Oryzias latipes: one gene and its partners. The main gene of each other region encodes a partner of the protein of the gene in region 3 in a complex. Links are inferred from orthologs where the notes say so. Each region holds a gene or a part of one and is shown on either strand. Other genes may lie near its edges.

Evidence for each region. Proteins that work in one complex are often made in the same cells at the same time.
Region 1: pola2 (region 3) and prim1 share a complex: the UniProt entries of both Homo sapiens proteins name them as parts of the alpha DNA polymerase complex. The link is inferred for Oryzias latipes from reciprocal best matches to the Homo sapiens genes POLA2 and PRIM1.
Region 2: pola2 (region 3) and prim2 share a complex: the UniProt entries of both Homo sapiens proteins name them as parts of the alpha DNA polymerase complex. The link is inferred for Oryzias latipes from reciprocal best matches to the Homo sapiens genes POLA2 and PRIM2.

What each region holds. Positions count from the first base shown.
Region 1 is NC_019865.2:19,073,543-19,077,374, forward strand, and holds the end of prim1 (DNA primase small subunit), read right to left. Parts: coding exon 3,796-3,832; intron 3,715-3,795; coding exon 3,623-3,714; intron 3,542-3,622; coding exon 3,409-3,541; intron 1,589-3,408; coding exon 1,519-1,588; intron 1,447-1,518; coding exon 1,340-1,446; intron 1,109-1,339; coding exon 1,010-1,108; intron 935-1,009; coding exon 915-934; 3' UTR 692-914; downstream 1-691. UniProt on the Homo sapiens protein: Catalytic subunit of the DNA primase complex and component of the DNA polymerase alpha complex (also known as the alpha DNA polymerase-primase complex - primosome/replisome) which play an essential role in the initiation of DNA synthesis.
Region 2 is NC_019873.2:24,463,084-24,466,460, reverse strand, and holds the end of prim2 (DNA primase large subunit), read right to left. Parts: intron 1,248-3,377; coding exon 1,068-1,247; 3' UTR 692-1,067; downstream 1-691. UniProt on the Homo sapiens protein: Regulatory subunit of the DNA primase complex and component of the DNA polymerase alpha complex (also known as the alpha DNA polymerase-primase complex) which play an essential role in the initiation of DNA synthesis.
Region 3 is NC_019868.2:12,482,058-12,486,956, forward strand, and holds the start of pola2 (DNA polymerase alpha subunit B), read right to left. Parts: upstream 3,263-4,899; 5' UTR 2,981-3,262; coding exon 2,896-2,980; intron 2,404-2,895; coding exon 2,282-2,403; intron 2,168-2,281; coding exon 2,079-2,167; intron 1,980-2,078; coding exon 1,922-1,979; intron 1,810-1,921; coding exon 1,700-1,809; intron 1,097-1,699; coding exon 897-1,096; intron 823-896; coding exon 734-822; intron 283-733; coding exon 130-282; intron 1-129. Other genes in the region: uncharacterized protein LOC105354875, read right to left, coding at 3,688-3,735, 3,822-3,920, 4,047-4,157, 4,355-4,476, 4,565-4,735. UniProt on the Homo sapiens protein: Accessory subunit of the DNA polymerase alpha complex (also known as the alpha DNA polymerase-primase complex) which plays an essential role in the initiation of DNA synthesis.

The DNA of each region.
Region 1 (3,832 bases), on a different chromosome or scaffold from region 3:
AGTTTTTGCGTAATATCCGGTGGAGCACCTTTCTACTTCCGGTATCATTAGAGGTAAAGTCTGGTGTGCTGTGTAAAAACGTTTCAATTTTTGAATCAAACTTATAGTCTTTTTATGCATTAAAAACAGCCTTCTCTTCGTAGAAAGCATTGAATATATCTAGGTTAAAAAATTTGGGAACACATTTTGTCATAGTAAATGTTTATTGTAATCTTTTAAAGAGGCTTCTTTTTGTCATTTGAATCAAATTTTCTGTCAGATGGGTTTGGCATGCTGGGAATAAATTTACACTATAGAAATTAAATATTAAGTATTTGTAAGAACTTTTAAAAAATGTTTTGTTAAAAATTTGGCTCTGCAAGCTTGCAAATAATGAACCTCAGGGTGCCTGTTTTTTTCTTAGTTCAGTGGTTCTGATCAAAAATGATAAAAATTATACCAACTGTGCAAATAAGTTAGTATGGGTGTCTTCAATAATTTAGTCTTAGTTGTGGTCATTTGACACACGCTTTTATCAGTTATTTAAATTGGTTGGTAAAGATTATACGCCCTTAAAATTTTTGTTCACTTTAGTTTAGGAGACACCTGATAAAGAGACATCCTCACAAACATATCAAAAATATTTTTGGAAGTGATTAATACTTTGCACTCTAATCAAATCCCTGTTTTTAAATAAATCAATCACAAAAGGTTGAACAAGAGCTTAAATTTAATACATTTTATTGAATGCCTCACAAATATTTATACACCAGCAAAATGTTGGAAAAATGTAGAAAATTACAAAGATTTGATACAAAAAGATATCAAAGTCACAAGAGTCAAATGCACAAATGCATAAAGCACTACACATCCATCACCACATGTACTAACAGACAGTAAAATCTGTTATTTTTAAAGCACGAGTTTGATGCCTGTCAGAATTCCATTTGATCATCTGGAAGAAAGAAAATTCAGCAAAATGAAAAAAAGAAGAAGAAAACATGTTTTAGTTTGAAAAATGAGAATTTACCACTCTTTCTGAGAAGTTCTCCCTTCCAGGAACGAGTCATTCCATCCAGGAAAGAATCAAAGTATTTCACATACTTTGCCAGGCTGGTTCTTTTGTAATCTGAGGAGAAAAAAATGACTTTTTTTGGTTTCTGTGTGAGTTTTAAAAAATACAAACTCTCAAAAATGAATGATAAATACTCTCAATAGGAAAGTGGTACGTTCTGTTACTTTACTTGTTACAGTAGCCCCGTTACGTAAAGCCCATCAGTCGTTACCTTACATTTTTTACACATAACAGCGTACATATTTTAATGGCAGGGCATATTTCAGTATTCTTGTCTTTGAGCACCTCTCATCTTCCGAGTCTCAACTGCATCTTTCTCATTTTCTTTGTCTTGGGATTCCTCCGACTTTTCCTCTTCTGTTCTGGGACGATCCAGCTCCTCACAGATGCGACTTTAATACAGCAGAGGCCTCGTTAGTCTTCCTGCATCAAACACACTGAGGGATGCCGAATTCTTCCCTTACCTGATTGTAGGCACAACAAATGGATCAAAGCTGTCTACTTCTTTGAGATCTATGGGAACTGAGATCCGACCTGAAAAAAATAAGAAGTGTTTTATCAGTGTATTATCAGACTACCGGTAGTTAGTATTCAGAGATTATTTAACTTAATGTTAATGGGTTTGAAATATAAATTAATAACTATTTGTTTTTAGTAGGCTGCGAGAAGTTGAAGCTGGGGTAGCTATGGTGCTCTGGGGTTCTGTAATCTTTTCCCATCTACTTCTACCCTTCCTCTCCTCCATTATTGATCATCATTCATCATTTAGTTCTCCATGCCTCTGTTTGGTGCAGTGCGATTCATGTATTGTCCCTCTTTCCCTCTCCCCTCCTGGGGATTGGGAGTGCTTCCAGATTCCAGTTGGCTCATCCGTGCTCCTATTCCTGACCGAGTACCTCGTCTCTGCTCCTGTTCCTACACCTGGCTGTGGTTCTTGTCTCAGGCTCGACTCGCGCCCCTGGCTGTCCCCCCAACCACGGCTGGATGAAGCTCGTCTGCTGGACTTTATATATGTAGTTGTAAAGTTAGATAAGTTAGTTCTTCTCTATGAGTTCTGGTAAATCGCCTGTCCGTCCTGGTGGAGGATCCCTCCTTCATGTGGGCACCCCTGAGGTTTCTTCGTTTTTTCGAGTTTTTTCTTACTGCGAAGGGGGGTCTAAGGGCAGGGATGCCAGTCTAGCTTAGCTTAGTTTGTTAGTTCATTTTAGCATTTTCCTATTGAACTCTTTGTATTCATGATCCTTTTGAGTTCATGTTTCACTTCGAAGCCCATCGAGACGACTGTTGTTGTGATTTTGGGCTATACAAATAAAATTGAATTGAATTGTTTTATTTGCTCAATTAAATTTTCTTCCCAAATCTTTTTTTTTTCATGCTGCATAAAATAAAATTAAAATCTTCTTGAAACTTCTATTAGTTCTTTAATCAAATTGCTGTGAATCAGGAGCAGACGACAAATGTTTAAAAAAGACCGTATTTGTGACAGAGGTGACAAGCTCCCTGCTTCGTTCCATTCTGATGCATCCACTTGCAGACATTTTGGACCTCTTGGTTTTCCTCCTCCGAGCTGGCATCTGGCTCAGAACTGTGCGACTGCATTGCTCCGATATTGCTCACCTTTTTCTGTACTGGTAATGTTGGGTGGAGGTGAATTTTTAATGAAATACTGCCCTGCCGCTCTGCAGAAACTGTCGTAGAAAACAACAGTTTTGTTTGTGTGTGGCTAAAAACGGAATACCGATAATAAAAAACCACTGGGAGCACTTTCCAATGGACAAAAGATTATCTGAGTGGGTCTTTAACAAAACAAAAACAATGACAGAAGTGTCTGTGTCCAGATGAAACAACCAAAAGCTTATTGTGAGTCATTTAAGAGCTCAGGAAGTATTCAAGTTTTACTGGAATATGAAAAAAAAACAACCCACAGACTGCTCTGTCTTTTGTTTTCATTGAGCGCAATGCTAAACTGCAAATATAACTGAAAGAATTTGGTGAACTCTTGAATAGTGTAATCCAATATAACAATAAAGGGGCAGGACAATATTCATCTTCCAAAGCCCAGTAGTTCATCTTGTCTTCTATTTTATTTCAAATAGTTTACAACAGAAAGCGTGCAATAGCTTCAGTTATTTATTTCAACAACAGTCACCATTCCAAAGAGAGCTAATTATTTTAAGTAATAACAAAATATCGCATCTTTAAAGGTTTGCTTTTAATCCTTAATTTGAAAGTTTGACAGTTGTTGTTTTTTACATTCTTGTATGACATTTGCATTTTTGTCAAATCTGGCTTCATATTTATATGAATTTGTCTTAATGACTGCAAACTTTCTGCTCCTTTTAAGGCATAATCACCTGTTTTGGGATGGACACTGAACGGACTCTTGAGCAGATGGTTCACCCCTTTGCTGACGTTCACGTCGAGCCGAGGGTAACAGTACTGCAGCATGATTTCTTTTTCAAAGTGTTGGCCTTTTTTCACAGTACCCTAAGAAAAGAAAAAAAAACAGACGTCCTTCTGCACAAGAAAAAAAGATGTTATAAAATAAACCTATAGAAAAGTACAAACCTGCTTATTCTTAGCTTCATTTTTTATCATTTTCCAGAGTTTTTCTGGTTGCTTCACACCTTTCATTTTGGTCTGCAATTCATTTCTGACATGTTTTTGTGTATTAAGGTTGTAATTGTTTTATCTTATTGGCTCATATTAACACAAAACTTGTGACTTAAAAAAAAGGATATCTTCAGGCACAAGGGCCAGCACTTTGTCCACACACTC
Region 2 (3,377 bases), on a different chromosome or scaffold from region 3:
GATTCTGCAACACCTACTGGCTGCAGATTTGAAAAATCAGCAAGCTGCAACATTAACCTCCCAACGGCTTCATGGAACACGCCGGGCATCAGCTCCTGTGAGAGCTCTCTTTAAGAATCTCACATCACCTGTAGTCCGTCAGACGAGTGGCGGATAAGAAAGCTGCGCAATGTAAAGCCAGTTCACTGCTAATGACTGTAAATCCATCTGCAGAAATGGTCTTGGACATCCGTGGCTTCAGACTGTCGAGGGGGGGGGCAGCGGTGTCAAATGTAGTCATGCTTTACCAAATATTGAACATCAAGAAGTATCTTGCTGACAGCCGCCCGCCTTCAGTTATCCAGTTGTCTTATTATACTGGATAAATCCTCTTCATGTCAAGCACCATGACTGGATTTTAAGACCCAATTTCCGTGCAGGAATGTGGGACTCTGATTCTCCGGCGCTGCCACACGTGGATGCAAGTGCAGCCTGAATGATGTAGTGTTTCGACATGCACATAAATATAACACCCAAATAAGAGAAACAGTCCGTCTTGCACTGCAGGAGCAACGCAATCTCAACTTTTGCCACCATTTCTGGGAAATTATTAAGCAGACGGGCCAGACAGAGAGAGGGGGAAATATCTCGCCACCTCATTTGCTTTGAATAAATTGCATTGTGCATTATGAGGCAATATTCCAAGGCAGAGTAATACAACTGTGGAAATGGTTTATTTTTTCATCCATCCTCCTGTCAGCATTTATCCATTAAGCTGCCATCAAATACAAAGACATTGTTTTGGGGACAGCAAGGAAATGTTTACGGTTTCCCCCAAAAGCCAAACTCCATCCAAACAGAGACCAGATTTAAGCCCTGCGAGTTCAGTCCACAGCGAAAGCAAAGGAGCTAAATATGTGTTTATTACAAGTTTTACAGGAGGCTCCAATCTGACAAGGTGAATATAAAAAAAAAATCTTAAAAAAAAAGAAAAAGCATAATTCAAATGTGATGCAAGAGGCTTGAAGACAGTATGTAACCATCTCCAATAGAAAAAGGTGGAGGATTTCTCCATGTAGTGAGAGAAATCAGCCATCTTTAAAAAGAGCTTCCAGGTCCTCAGCCGTCTCTGCCAAATGCTGAGAGGTTTCCTGCACCTTCTGAGGAACGTCCACATCCCTCTTTGGATCCTTGCCTCCACCTAAAGCTTTCTGGCTCTCTATAAAGTACTGGTTGGGGTGACTGAGTGAGAAAGAAGAGTCCTCCACCTGCTCGTAAAGAAACAGAAAAAAAAAAAAAAAACAGGAGAGGAAGGTCAGCGGAGGATTCTAACTATGGGCTGTCACAGAAGTGGCAGGTTGACTGACTGATTTCATGGAATGTCACCTTTTAGAAGATGATTGTCTCACTTATGGAGGAAGATGAGAACTCTTGCACAGACTTATTTGACTTAACGGGTTTTCACGGCTTCGTTTGTAAGGTAAGTCACCTCCAGAAGTGTGACACGAGTGCAAAAGCTGTCACATGAAATGTCCTTTCAGGACAGAGAAAGTCAAACCAATGGAAACCTCAAACTGTTTTGGGCTTTCAACTTATTAAGAAGCATTTTTAGGATTTTAGTAAACCGTTTCATGGTTTTTAAAGTGTGTAGAAAGGATAAAAGATTTGTTTACAATTTATTTTCATAACTTTCTTTAAAACCCCACTGTTCAAAATTAGAAAATCAAAACTGTACAGCTCGATAGCTCCGATATTGCTCGCCATTTTTGCATCGAGGAGGGGGAAGGGGGCGGGGTTGCTCTCCACCAACGGTCCCGCCCACAAGTCAGAGATGAACTTTTGATGAACAACTGCTGCCCTGCAGAAATTATGTTCTCGAAAAACAGCTGTTTTTTGGGGGCTAGAAACGGCATAACCGTAATTAAAAGACCACTGCTGAAAATAAAAATAAAAACGATTAGAGCGTCTTTAAAACTATTGTGACTGAGCAAATTCTGTTTGTTTTTTAGCCCCTTTTGAAACGACTGTGAATTACAGGTTTTAAATGAGGATAATTATACAGACTTTGAATTTCCCTCAATCTGCTTTTCTGTGTGGGACTGAAGCGATTCTGCAGTGAGTCTGAGGTAACGATTGCCGCCACTTTCCCAGGTCTTCTCTATGGAACACGCTGTGTAAAATCCTACAGGTCTTTAAGTTATTAGCATCATGACAATGAGATAAGAATCTGCAGGAACACTTTGCCTGTCGAAGCAAATGAACTTCTCTTCTACGCGACTGCAGACAACATTTCTCAAGTGACTGCATGCATAATCTAAATTAATGTATGTGAAGTTCTTGTAAGCAAACAATTGAACCACAAACTATTCATTAAGCTTCATGTGCAGTTAATCAAGTCATGACTACATTGTCCCTTCAACAGTTATTGCCATTAGAGGCAAGAAAAATAACCAAATGCAGGATTACAGAAATATCCAGAGTTCTGGTACTCTTCTAAGGTTTTGTTCTTTGTTTTGACCAGATCCAAAAACACTAAGTTAGATTTGCTTCTTTATCATAGAGCAAGTTCTTTCCTTTTAGTTTTCTGTGGTCTGTCAACATATTTCTAACAGTGGTCCCTCGCTATATCACAATTCACCTTTAGCAGAGTTTTGGTGCACTTGTAATTGTTTTTTTAACAGCGGATTCTGTCCTGCATCCTGATTGGCTGTAGACCATTGTCAATCAGTCCCATACGTGTGGTGTCTCGTGTACAGAACGCGTTCAGTTTGCAATATTTAAATAAACATTCAATTGTTAGCAAATCTTTGCTTTCATTCTATAATACTGGACTTTTTTTTAACGAAGGTTTGAACTTTAAACATTTGAATAAGAGAGGAAATATTAATATTTGTCTGAGAGAAGTCTCAGAGAGGAGTCTCACAGTATTAAACCTTTAACAATATTTGTAAAAAATAAAGCTAATGATGGAGGTTATTTTTAGAACATAACTCCCTCAATAAACGAGGACCTGCAGTATTTTAAAAAATAGCATGTATTTAGAGGTTTTATTCAATTTCAAGATCAAATATTTCTCTAATAATCTAAAATCAAAGTGTATTTTTTAATGTAGTTTTAGGCACTCGCATCAGTTCGGGCAGACACGACAAAATATGCAAAAAGGTGTAAAAACAATCATCTGAAAAACATTTTCAGGCACAAATGGAATTGCAGCCACAGGATACACCGAGGTTCACTTCTTGCTTATAGATTTCCTCACGACATAAAATACACCGGAGAGTCATTATGAATCTATAAACATTAAGCAGCTATAACAGTCAGCTAATGATGAATTCAGTAATTCTGGGTGTCGCCACGCATTAGATGTTAACTGAACCCTGCAGCACAGGTAGCCACGG
Region 3 (4,899 bases):
ATAACCTGCTGCACACTAACCTGAGTGCAGAGGCAAAGGAGAAACCACCAGCGGGAGAACACCCCCCTCACCGTCTCCTCCAGCTCAGAGATTACAGGAACACTTCTTTCTGTGCAGGGTTCATCCTACCTGACCGGGAAACAGGGAGTACTCTTTAAGCTCCGACAGGTCCACGGCAACCTGCTGACCGCCGTGCTCCGGTCCCGCCTCCAACAGAACAGACTGAGCGTTCAGTTTGCCGTTACTGTCGCAGCAAATCTGCCCCGACACCGTTATGCTGTCCTGAAGGTGGAGGGCAGAAATGAATGAGCGGATATCAGAGCGGCAAAGATAGAAAACCCGCTTTTAATTTGAGGATTTGGCATAAAACTGATGCAGAGGCATCAAAAATAACTCGGATATAATAGTAGGGAGGGGAAAGAAAACGTGTTTTTTTTTCAAGAGACTTAATCATGACATTATGAATGAAATCTAAACCAAAACCTAACTATGGGTTTGTTGCATTAAAATAACAGGAAACTTCAGATCATTAAACAATATAATAAACAAGAACAATTCCCACAGAAAATGACAGCAACAATCAGGAAATGACTGATTCAGTTTGTTGCTGGAAACTATGGATCCAAGTGGAATCAAATAAAGGAACGTGCACGTATGGATTCTTTTGGCTTTTGTATTCTGAATCCAGAGAATCCAGCACCGTGTGACTCCCACAGCAGTGACGGCTCCGTACCTGTGCGGGCAGAGACACGCTGGCAAACTCCTCGATGTGGAAGTGAGACCTGACGGTTTCCCCCAGATCCTCAATCTTCTCTGCCAACACTGGAAAAATGAGGGACGTGAATATAGAAACACTAAGCACCAAAGCAAAGGAGCACTGCTGGGGGCCCGCACACCATTTCTGACGTCGCGCAGCCTCTGGAACATGAATTTGTAGCTGCTGTGCAGGGAGTCTTCAGGCCCTTCCAGAAAGTCCACCTGGACGCCGGCGGCCGGGTTCTTCCTGCCCGCCCAGCGGGTTCCCTGCGTGGCTCCAAACGTGACCACAACCTCCCCTTTGGCTCCACGCTGGTTGTACTTCTGTGAGGGCGTGGCACTTCAGAGGAGAGACAATAGTCAAGTCAAAGTTCCAACAAAACCTCATTCATCTCTTACTCCTAACCATTCTGAATTGAATCTCTTTAATCATAGAAGAAACTGCTTTAAAATCTACAACATGATATAAAAATAAACATCCCTTTTTTCGCTGATCTTCAATGAAGCTGTAGGAAAAAGAACAAATCCTCCAAAGAAACAAAATTTCTTGTGGTTTATTATAGTTATTTTTTTTCATCTTAAAACCGTTGGATCTGAAGTATTTATAAGAAAACACACAAATGTGTTGTCTGTTATTTCAGACAATTTAAGCATCATAGAACATAGAAAATGACCATCTCTTGAGTAATTTTAGAAGTTAAACTTATCACCCACTAGAAGTATTTCTTAGAGATTATGTGATGCATGAAGAAAAGAAGGGTCTAGGCAGACTGTTACCATTAGAGGGAGTTCAATGATTAATCAGACAATTCTGACTTTAATAAAAGAAGTCAGAATTCATTAAAATTCTGACAATGATCTCAGAATTCTGTGTTCATATTCAGGCTGAAGGCTCGGCGCCGAGCTGACAGAGGCTGTGTGAACGCTGTGTGATGCTTCGTACTTGGCAGAGAAGCTGGCTGGAGACAGCAGCAGGCCGGGGCTGGCCAGCAGAGCAGCACTCCTCTTGGACTGCGGGTGTTCTGGAGTGGTTAGCGGTCGTTTCTGAGAACCCTGTAACTCGAGGCAAAGGGAGAAGGGGTGGCACAGAGATTCAGTAAACTCCATAAACTATGCAGAACTGATGGTGGAAGGAGACAAACAGAAGTTCAAGCTGAGAGCTCACCTTTGCTGGAGTGGAGTAAGAGTCGAGGAGATTCTCCTCTTCCTCCTCAGCTTTTATTCTGTTAGAGAACTGTGTTAAGGTTTGCAAAGCGTCAGAAACTCAACACAAATAAACACAATAGTACTATTGTTTTTGGTTTTCCTAAAGTATGGGATACATGTCCTGTAAGGTGTTAATGTCCATGGTTTTGTTATAAGGTTCTTCTTTTTTCAGGCCTGATTTGAACTTGTTCCTCTTGTTTAAAACCTGTCAAGAAACCAAAAGTCCAAATGTGAGAAAAGGGAAAAAAGTGTGGAAAAGCTGAAGAGCCACATTTATGCTGCAGTCATGAAAAACCCATGATCTGTGTCCTGCTTTTACCTCGTGTTCAAACTGCTCCAGCGTGTTCATGGTGAGAGGTTTGGGGTTCCTGCTGTTGTAGGCCATCCACTCACACACCATGTCATCCTCCTGAATTCTGTGACAGATGCACTGCTCAACCACTGAGCAACAAACAAACAAACAAACAAAAATGGCTGTCAGCATAAAGTCTTTGAATGAAACAGCAAATACTAAAACAAAGAGAAAAATCCAGTGAGAACAGTTTAAAACTTATCAAAGGACTAAAGACAGAAATGGTTTATAAAGTTCTGAAAACATCAGATCAACAGGATGAAAAGATGAAATTCTACTGCTGCTGCAAGGTTTTTGAAAAAATTCAGAAAAAACTGAATAGGATATTTTAAAAACAGCAATGAATGAAGTAGGAAGTATACACCGTAAAAACAAAAAAATGAATGGACAATATGAAAAGTATAATACTTGAATGTTTATGCTTCGAGTCTGATTTATTGCACAATAGAGCAAAAGGTTGACAAGACTAAAGAATCGTGTCTGTTGTTATCCAGGTCACGTGATCCCAGGTTCCAATGCCATTCTTAAGCTAACGCTACAGAATTGGACGATTAGGGAAGCATTAAATGTCAAACACTCACTCCTCTCTAGGACCGAGTCATCCTCGCAGGATATGCAGAAGATGTCCAGCTGCGCCTTTAAACTTTCTGCTGTTGCAAGCGCCATTGCTTTGCTGTCGACTGTTGTTGGACCTCTGGTGGTTTGGGTTAATAATTTAGTTCTCGGCGTCAAAAGAATAGTGATGCTAACGCTAGCTTTACATTAGCTAGAAAAAACATCAACAATCGGATTAAATTAACTGCTCGACGTTAAACCCCTCGGTGTCTTACCAACTGCATTAAACTACACGGAATAAATCCAATCAATGGTTATTTCATTTTACCGCGAAAAGGGGCTGTCGGGGTTGGCGGCCGGAAATGACGTCAAGACAGGAAACTGTTTTCCTCAAGGCCACCGTCAAAATAAAAGCTTAAGGATGAATCGCTGTAGGCAGCAGTTTAAAAAAAAAAGAACTGATTATTTTTCCCCCAGTGTATGCCTTTAATTTCTTGTAATTCTGTACAAATACTGTTCATTTAAGTTTAGACTAAATTGAAAAAAAAAAGACTCGATCAGCTGTCATACTTCATCCAAAGCCCCTTTCATAGTTATTTGTTATACTTTGATTATGTTTATTTTATCTGTTCAAAATAAATAAATATTATTAACCTCTTGTGTGACACAGATTGTAAAAATAAATAAATATGGATCAAGTTTTTTCACGCCACTTTCTTTATTCAAGGTAAATACAGCATATTATAGACAAAATAAATTACAGGTCACTCGTCTGAACTCCACAAAAACCTTTCAAGGAAAAAAAAAAAACAGCATCCTCAGATTTCCGACTTTGTAGACCCGTGATGTAAAAGATTTTCCTCCATCTGCCAAAGCAATGAGTTTGGTCAACATTACTGTTAAAAGCCCAGATGGATGCCAGGCGGTTGTGGAAAACACACACTTCACTAACCTGAGTGGAATAACATCTGCCCACGGGAAGGAATCTCCATGACATCACTCGCCGGAGTGACTCACCCAGGTGGGATGACAACGCATGAGTGTCGGCTACCTAAAAATCACATTGCACACAAAAAGCACTTTTTTTTCTTTTCATTTAGGCAACTAAGCGATTTGGCTGCGACACAAACTACGAGTGCTGGATGTTATTTTAAGATCAGATGTTTTTCTATTGTACCTTCATGAGGTCAAAGCAGGCGTTTCTGAAGTCCACGTTGCTGCTGCAGCTAACAATACTCATGGTGGAACTGAGAATCACCTCAGCCGCTGAATTCAGCTTCTCTTGTTGCTTTCATCAGAACAGAAAACATAGATAAACAAGTAAATGAAACAACACTCTAAACAATTTATTTTAAAATGAACGGTTGCATCTTGAAGTGGCTAACTTGAACCAATATTTATTTTTCTGTCAAAGTACAGCAGCAGCTGTTCATCTATTCTCTGACAGTAGAAAGGTTGTTGGGAAGGTTTTATTTTCATTCTTGCCTTTTTCCTTTGATTTTGAGCTTTCATGGCGTTCCCGATTTCCGTTCGTATGGCTGCCATGACAGCCGGCTTGTTGTTGCACAGAATCTCCTCCAGGTGGTGCTCTATCAGCATGTCAGCGGCTGTGAAAAGAGCCGTCTTGAAAGCTGTTCACATCAGTTTTTCTACTGGCTCCTGACAAAAACCGCGAAATCCCAAATTGTTTCTCACCTACAAAATCAGACAGGTGGGAGCAGAAGGGGTTTCTGTGTTGCAAGAGGAGGAAGAGCAGGAGACTCTGCTGAACTGGCAGGTGACTGGATTCTTGCTCTTCATCGTCACATTTCTTTTCATTTTCCCATTGCTCAGTGGTGAACACAGTACCAACTCTGAACTCTGGATCTGCAGGAAATATACAAAAAATGACTTTAGGTACTTTGTCCTCTGTTTTCCATGAAGGTATAAGTGTTTGCTGCAGTTTCTAACTTTTGCCCCTCTTTGTCTAGTGTTATTTCTGCCCGGTCCCGTTCATGTCCTCTCTGATCCCCACTGCTCACGGAAAGAAG